2 linked regions of the Schizosaccharomyces pombe genome follow. Changing the gene in region 1 together with any one later gene gives a genetic interaction. Each region holds a gene or a part of one and is shown on either strand. Other genes may lie near its edges.

Region 1 (4,120 bases):
CACAAAGAGTGCCCTCCAAAACACGTCTTCCTAAATATTTACACCATGAGTACTTTCATACTGTATCCGATCTTTGTTTATGTAATAGCTTGGCTAACGAGATTATGCTTAAAAAGTTACAAAACGATATGTTCTTTATCCATTGAATATTTGAAAACATCTCAGTGTAAAAATATCAATCATTGAGCATGGTATTACCATTGTAAGATAAAGAGTCAGAACTTTTTCAAGATCAAGATCCTATATCCATAAAAGAAACCAAAACTAATTCCAGCTGTAATCAATAATGATCGTTGGGTTTGATAATTAACAAGAAATCATTAACATTAGATGTTTAAGCGTTGTACATATTCATATCCGGGCCATGAGACAGTAGAAAACCAAAGAAAGCACAAAAGCAAGTTAATCTTGAACTTTTATAACAGGATGGCTTTCTTTTTGCCATTGTTTGCGCTTGTATTTTTGGGATTCATTAGCTGATGGGCTTTTCACTATTACCACCAGTTTCGTTCCTTAGCATCTGCCACCTCCACTATATTGTTTATTTTGAAATATTATATTTTGAGGCGTGTTCTCAAATTATTTAGACCAGAAAATTTTTAACTTCAACCAAAGTTATTAATTTGCTTGAAAAGATTGTTCTACCACCCAACTTACATCAAATAACGAAAAACTGAGATTGACTTCTGGTGAAATATCTTGTTTCAGAAACATCAAATAAGGCTGGTCTTCGTATTTTAGAAACATAATTGAGGTGCTACCAATACTTTTTGACTGTAGGTTAGCTGCAATCAGGCTTTTCATTCATTGACTAAATTTATTCCTTGGTTTACGAGTCCAAAAATTTAGTCGCAACTTTAAATTTCTCTTTTTTCCCTTTCAAGATGCACATTAACGAAGAAACAGATTGGATCGATTTGGTCAAACCAGCGTTAGCAAAGAAGCCCAAAAAGATCGTTGACAATTCTGACAAGTTCCCTACGCCTCGAGGATTTCAACAGAAGTCGTTGGTTTCCAAAAACATTCATTCAGGAAATTCAGCTTCCTCAACTTCCATATTTGCTAAACGAGAGGAAGAATTACAAAAGGATCTCTTACTAAAGAAAGCATGGGAGCTTGCATATTCCCCCCTTAAACAAATTCCTATGAACGCTATTTTAGCATACATGTCTGGTAATTCACTACAAATTTTCAGTATTATGACGACTCTTATGTTGCTTGTAAATCCACTGAAAGCAATAACATCTACAGGATCTGCCTTCACCCCATTTAAAGGCACCCACCCAGGAACCCTTTGGCCCGCTATGGGTGCTTATATTTTATTCCAATTATTGCTTATGGGGATTGGAGTCTATAAGCTGCAAAGAATGGGATTATTGCCAACGACTACCAGCGATTGGCTTGCCTGGGAAGTCTCGAAGGTCTTTATGGATCGATCTTATGGTCCTAGTAAAACTGTTTTGTAAGAATTTCATTTACTCCAAAATTTTAAAGATATACGAGTGAAATCGTTAAATTATAGTACCTCCTAATGCCATTGCTTCTAGCTGACCTAGAAAATAATAAATTCATATAAAGAAGGAATGCTTGGAGTTCGGAAACATATTGTCTTCTGGATTAATAATTTATCCTCCATTATGCGGCATTAAACGTTCAATGCCTTTAATCGATATCATGCACGCCATAAACGAACCTCGAAAATACTTGATTATCCAGTTCTTTTTACCCATCCATAGTTTTCGAGAGCATGAAATTTTTGATAGAATACTTTCTTTTACGTCTTGATTATACTGAATATAGAAATATCAAATATTCTTCTTTGTTTTAACTATTATCAATAATGTCTTAGTATATTGAGTTAAAGAATTAGTGCTTTTAGTATAAATTTAATCTCACTCCAATATTGTTTTCTTCACCCTAGTGTAATAGCTGAGCTTAATTTTCAGGCACTTCACTGAGCGCCTGCTTCACATATTATCTACACTTACAACCGGTTTTGGCGATAAAGCCATTACACTTGGAAATTTTTACTGTTTGAAAAAAAAATCTATTAAATCTATAAAAGTAATCGTATGGAGAAGGAATTAGAGGAATACAAGAGCCAGCTTGCTCTCGTTCAAATTTCTCTTCAGAAGACTCCCCAAAACGAGGAATTACAGTTACTGGAAAATGATTTAAAGGAATTAATTAGCCTTACTGAAAACTTACTACAAGAAAGTGTAGAAAATGATAAAAATACGTTTCAAAATTCCCAAAATGGTGTTGCAGGTTTCAATACTTCAAAGCCAGTACATATCGACTTTACGCCTGGAAATTTAGTAATGGCCCGATGGGTTTCAGGAGATTATTTATTTTATCCTTCACGTATTACTGCTGTTTCAGGCTTCGGTGCAAACAAAAAGTACACAGTACAATTTCTTGACTATCCTGACATTGAAACTGTTTCCCTCAAACATATTAAGGCCATGCCTGAGGAAAAACGTCAGGAAATAGAAGGAAATAAAGAAATTCTCAAAAAATCTACCACTATACGTAGTACACCTGTTAGAGAGCCTACAAAAGCAATATCTGTAGCATCTATGTCTACAAGTCCTTCCAATTATGCGTCTCGTGCCTCTTCTCCAGATATGAAGAGTTCGGCGGCTGTAACGGCTAACGTATCTCCGATCCAAAATGTCGCTCAGCATGTTTCAACCCTACCAAAGATCTCTCCCATTCCTCCCTCTAACCCTCCACCTGTTCCTAGTGTTTCATACTCCCAAAAGCAGCAAAAACAACTAAAACCTAAAGCAGCACTTGAAGCATCACAAAATTCTTGGAAACAGTTTGCTGCTCGAGGTGTAAAAACTGGACGCGTTGGCAAACGAAAGAAGATTGGAGAATCTAGTATATTTAAAAGCACTGAAGATTTTCCTGGAAGGACAAACCCTAAAAATTTTGGAAATGTTGCGAGGTCTGGGCATCGCGAAAAGCACATCTATAATTATAGAGAAGACGAAGATAGCTGAGCAATGTGTCTTCATTTGAAACTTGGTATTTAATTAATAGGCTTTTAACAGCCGCTGTTTATGTTTTCATTTATATATTTTTTGGTGCAATAAGCATAAATAAGCTTTTTACAGATCTTTAACCTAATTTCTGATGAAGCTGTCCTGGTTTTCCATATTTAACAAATTGTTCGTCGCATTGTCTACAGCTATAAAACAATTCTTTTGTTGTTGTTGGTGTATACATTAGAGAGGAATGAGTAATTAGAAAAGAATTATTACCTTTCGCATCTTAAGAATTTAACAGCCATAGACTACTTTTTTATATTCACATCTGCATACGGTTTTATGAATAGCATCATTACTATTTTCTGATGCGAAATAGTCATTTCGTTCTTAAACAATAGATCCATTTCCCGTGACATTTGCTAATTGTATTCCACCAAAATTTGACTTCTTAGTTTACAATAGTTGGTGAAAGTAAATCGGTGGTGGTACTATCTTGTCTCGCCATGCTCTTTTAAATAACGGCAACTTATGTTTTTAATAGCATTGTTACATGATAAACTGAAATATTCTATTTGTCATTCGTATTCTATAAGAGGTATATAAAGCCGTATATGTTGAGGGATCATCCACAGACAGCAATGAAAACTAGCTCCTCTAATATACTAGTATTACAAAAAATCTAATTGTATGAAAGAAATCGGTAAGCATACAAAGGGCGGATAGATTTAATTTTGTTTTAATGGAAACATGTAACACTTATCATAAAATGTAGATACTATGCTAATTGAAATTTATAATGCAATTTATGTATGACCAAGTGATATTCCCTTAAATAAAGCTTAGATATAACACATTCTCGTCAGCAAAGCCAAATGCCAACGGAAACTAGATAAGAATAGTAACAAGGATATGAGGAAGTTAAATAAGGTGGATATAGAATATAATGAAACATAACTTGAAGTATTCATTTAAAAGACCTGATGCTCAACAAGACCGAGCTTGGAGGATATTTTGTTTAAAACATCACAGTAACTGTACATGCTCCGATTTCGTGAACTTCAATTAAAATTTCGCTTTGTAAGACTAAGACTAGAAAACTAAGGACGACTAAGGTTTTCACGACG
Region 2 (4,392 bases), on another chromosome or scaffold:
ATACTCTTCGTTGTCAATCGCTGAACGAATTAAGCAAGCCCAAAATACCCCGTTCTTAGAATCGAAGGTTTTACCGCAAAACAATGAGACTTCAGACGAAGAGAATGTCGATGTAAAGCCAGCGGCTGGTACGGTGAAGAATGTTATGCAAGCCTTTCTTCAGCCCGCTACTCCTGCCAAAGACACTGCATCAAAGGAACCATCCAAATCATCCCAACAGCCAGTACGCACAAAGCCACGAATTGCTCAGTCACCCTTTCTTGCCCAGGATGCCAAAGAAAATGGTGGCAATGTTGAAGTCTCATCCCCCTTGTCCTTCTCCGCCTCCAAGTCGCCTGCTGCTGTAGACTCCTCCACAAAGACACCCACTGAACAAGTTAATGTTGTATCAAAACAAGCCCCCACCACCTCTTCCACATCGGTGATTTCCCCAGATCCCCTCCAGACCGCTGCACCATCGGCAAATGTGAATGAGGTCATCGCCAGTTTAGAGAGTAAGGTTGTTACTCGACGCACTGGATCAGGTAACAATTATCGAGTGGGGTTACGAAATGTGTCTGGTAGTGAAAGGACAAAGTCGTTAAGCAAGGAATCACCAGTGGAGCCGGAAAAACCTGCACTACCGGATGCTACCTCGAGCTCAACACCAACTACCGAAAACAAAGAATCTTGGACTAACCAAGGCATCAAGTCTAGTCAACAACGTTCGGCAAATGCATCTCCTGCTACTTCCCCTTCTAATCAAGCATCCATCCATGCATCGTTTACGAAAGAATCGAGTACACACTCTTCTCCCTCCTTTACCTTGGAATCCTTGTTTTCTGGTGCTCCACGGGTCGTCGAGTTGACGAGGTTTTCTCAACCCAGCCCTGCTTGCAGCCGTGCTTTGTTGGCACGGTGGAAGGAGGAATACAGAACGTCTATACATTGAGCGAACCCGTCTACGGCCGTGCATGTGTTTGCTTAATGGAACTAGAAGACAAGGATGGGTGGACGGGTCAACCGAATTGCCTTTGCTTATGTTAGATAGAATTCTACCCTAATGTGCGCACGTTGATAGTTAAAGTCGTTTATACTACATTGTAGAAAATGTACATTGACTGCACCAAAACTCGGCTACCGTTCCTAAGTCGATGGTGCTGATTTTTATTTTGTTGTTGTATTGTATGTTCTGCATTCTCCTAATTTATGCTCTGCTTTAATTATTGTTAATTTTTTTTTCCTTAAAAACTTCCTTCCTATATTATTCTATTTCGCACGACATTCATTTTTGAACAACATTCTACCTTTATACGACACTATAGGATCCAATTCTTCTAACGTTGTACTAGTGTTTTATGTTTTTGTGCTTCTCATTTTTATGTTTTGTACATTGTTTTCTAAGTTAGTTATTCTAATGTTGCATTGTACATCTCATTCTTTCCCTATAATTAATTGCCTTGATAATCCTTTTACTTTCTCCTACTTGAGTACTAGCGCAATGCTGTTTACAACTCTACTCGACATTGTTTTTTAACGTTGTACTGTAGCCCACTACATCTGCGGTTTGTTTACAGGACTGTTGTATAACGAGTAGTTATTGTTGCTGTTACATTGCCATAGATTTCAGTAACTTGAGTTTTTCCGCAAGTACCCTTATGAGTGCATTGCTTTTTTTTTGTCCAAGACCTTACCGGCAGTTCCCTGGTAACGAGGCCTGAGGCAAAACCCCTTCTGTCAAAACAGTAGAGTGGAGCAGTAACTGCTTTTAATAGGAGTCTTTGTATCATCCAGATCTGGACTTGTGGTACAGAACATTTGGCAGAAGTTGGTGGTGGTAATAAAACAAGAAGTTTGAAAACAAAAAAAAAAAAAAAAAATGATTTTCGTAAGTCGTTTAAAGAAAAGTGAAAAGTGTTTTTTCTTTATACTGCACTCGTTGGTCAAGTGAATGAACTAACTTTTTCCTGCGCTTAACTATTTACCAATCTCCACTCTTCAAAGTAGCAAGATCCATTCGCGCCATTTTTAGTTGATCCGGTTTGATGGAATAACTGCTTGGCGCTCGTTCATTCGTTCTTTAAGGTTCAAAATGGACATTTTTATTTCAACTCTAATTACGATATCGGCAGTTGGGAGAGGAGGCAAAAGGCCAAATTTTTAGTTTATAAAAAGGAGCATCTCCTTTCATCTATTCTGCAGAAACCAAGGCTTGTATTGTGAGACGTAAAGCGTTCAATTGCAAGGTTTCCCCATTGCTAGTCTCGTTGACAGTCATTCCTTGGCTTTAGAAAAAGAAGTTTGCTTATTTACTTTTTTCACTAATTTTGGAATTCCGTCTTTTTGAGCTACTTGTTTGTTTAGACATTTTAATTCTTTAATTGTTTACAATTTACTGTCTTTTTTCCTTCATAATAGAAACGCATATCGAGGTTTGAATAGGTCGAAATAGAAATATTTTGTTTTGTTAATCGTCCATCATCTCATTTCATTCACATTCCATCGATCGGTGCTATATTCTCTTTATTTATTCAGCTTAATTGCCCGATTTTTTTTTTAAATTATTTCTTACCTTTTTTTTTTTGGTTTGGTAAAAAATGAGCTGTGTTACTAGAGCCCCCATGTCTGTACCCCAGACTGCCCTTCAACCTAATTCCTACGTTAATTTCGACGCTCAACAAACATCTTCTACTCTGCTTCCAGTAGAAGTCATTGACTCGGTCATGCAGTATTTACCTGCACACGACGTTATCCAGTCTAGCTTCGCCAGTTATCCATTGACTTTGATTGCCAACAAGATCATTCGTGCTCGTCTTTCCTTCTTAGACGAATATTCACTTCGCGTTTTTGCAAAGGATGTCTATACCGATTCACCGATTTGCAACTTGTCTGCCCGTCGCGGTTTGTATTCTTTACAATATGATGGTTATTCGGTATTCCACTTGGATCCTAACAATTGCTCCTCTATTTTTCAAATCTCCTTTGAGGACGACGAGGATCTAGCTTCTTTTGAACGATACCCTGGGGAGTTTCTTGCTCCCCATATCAATGTTCGAATTCACGTTACCTTGTCTCGTTCTTCCTGCGATCGTCATCAAGCCGATATATTTTCTTGCTTTCAAGATCCTATTCGTGTCCGCCGGGATTGGCTTGATTCGATAAAACCCGGTCAACCTGAAACACTTTGGTTTGATCAAAACACTCAACATGTCATCGGTCTAATTGTTACAAGAGTTGATGCTGCTCCTGGAAAGTATGATCTTTCTGTTACATCTGTTATTGTTCAAACGGAGTACCTTTTATCTTGCCTCGAGAAAAGAGTACATTAAAAAAGAACTTTTTCCATTCTGCATTGTTTAATATTCTATTATTTAATTCTCATGAGACAATCATGATTGCGTTCCGTTTTCTTTTAATGTTTATTTTCGTTGCTTGACAAGCCTGTGTCGCTCACGACTTCTTTGTTTGACATTTTGTACTTATTATTCTTTTAATTAAAAATTTAATTTACCTGTGATGTATGTTTTGCTGTGTTAATACATCCTGGTTTCTCATTTAATAAATGCGTTTATACATTTTACGCAGTCGACTGGTTTTTTTTTTCAGCGTTGTTTTAATTTCATTCAGCATTTGGCTTCATGTACAAAATTTATTTCTTAACATTTTTTTTCTAATAAACTTTTTTTTGTTGTACTGAAAAGTAAAAACCTACCTTTTTTTAAATTGCTCAATCAATTGAATGTTGTTTTCACGTTTCTCATTTCTACGAATATTTTAGCCTTTGTAAAATCTTTTTAATAGACGCTTAATCTTGTAAATGTGACTAAGTCTATACTACGTTCTTTCGCTCCAGTCAGTCTGCATTGTTTTGAGAGTTAGTGATTTTATGCTGGAATCGACGTGGTTATTTCGCAAATCTTTTAAATATGTAGTGAAAGCAGTATTTGTTTATATTATTGAAGAACTGTAAAATTTAGGTTTGACATTGGTGGTTTTTTGGCTTTACAACTCGTCTGTTAACGGAATTGGGTAGTGTTCAAATAAAATTTAAAATTGGTAGAACTCTGGGATAAGTTTTAGTATTTATGTTTCTATGCAAATAAAGATAAGCTTACTTGTTTCATTTTTTCTTTAAATTCTATATATCTTCATTGTTTTTACATGTCAACCAAGAATACGAATGTTTGGTTCATAAACATACCTCAATACATTGACACCACCACCCGTCACCATGAAATGCGTCGAATGCGGCGCGGAAGTCGATTCTTTATACACATATTATGGAAGGGGTACCAGTAATATTCGACTAGCTCAATGCGTAAGTAATATACACACAATATGTTTCGTTGATGTAGTCAACTTGATCGTAAGGAGCTAAGGGCAAGTCCATTCCAACGGCGACGAAAAGAAGCT

The links.
Region 2: mutations in spf30 (region 1) and pof15 together harm fitness more than expected from each alone (negative genetic interaction), as found in Schizosaccharomyces pombe (one large-scale study listed by BioGRID).

What each region holds. Positions count from the first base shown.
Region 1 is NC_003421.2:1,381,378-1,385,497, reverse strand, and holds spf30 (splicing factor Spf30), read left to right. Parts: upstream 1-1,953; 5' UTR 1,954-2,072; coding exon 2,073-3,008; 3' UTR 3,009-3,443; downstream 3,444-4,120. Other genes in the region: chaperone EMC4, read left to right, coding at 885-1,466; cell wall alpha-1,3-glucan synthase Ags1, read right to left, coding at 4,094-4,120. UniProt on the Schizosaccharomyces pombe protein: Involved in spliceosome assembly.
Region 2 is NC_003424.3:1,888,344-1,892,735, forward strand, and holds pof15 (F-box protein), read left to right. Parts: upstream 1-2,179; 5' UTR 2,180-2,576; coding exon 2,577-3,308; 3' UTR 3,309-3,747; downstream 3,748-4,392. Other genes in the region: SPOM_SPAPB1A10.13 (uncharacterized protein), read left to right, coding at 1-931; Arv1-like family protein Arv1, read left to right, coding at 4,211-4,297. UniProt on the Schizosaccharomyces pombe protein: Probable substrate recognition component of a SCF (SKP1-CUL1-F-box protein) E3 ubiquitin-protein ligase complex that mediates the ubiquitination and subsequent proteasomal degradation of target proteins.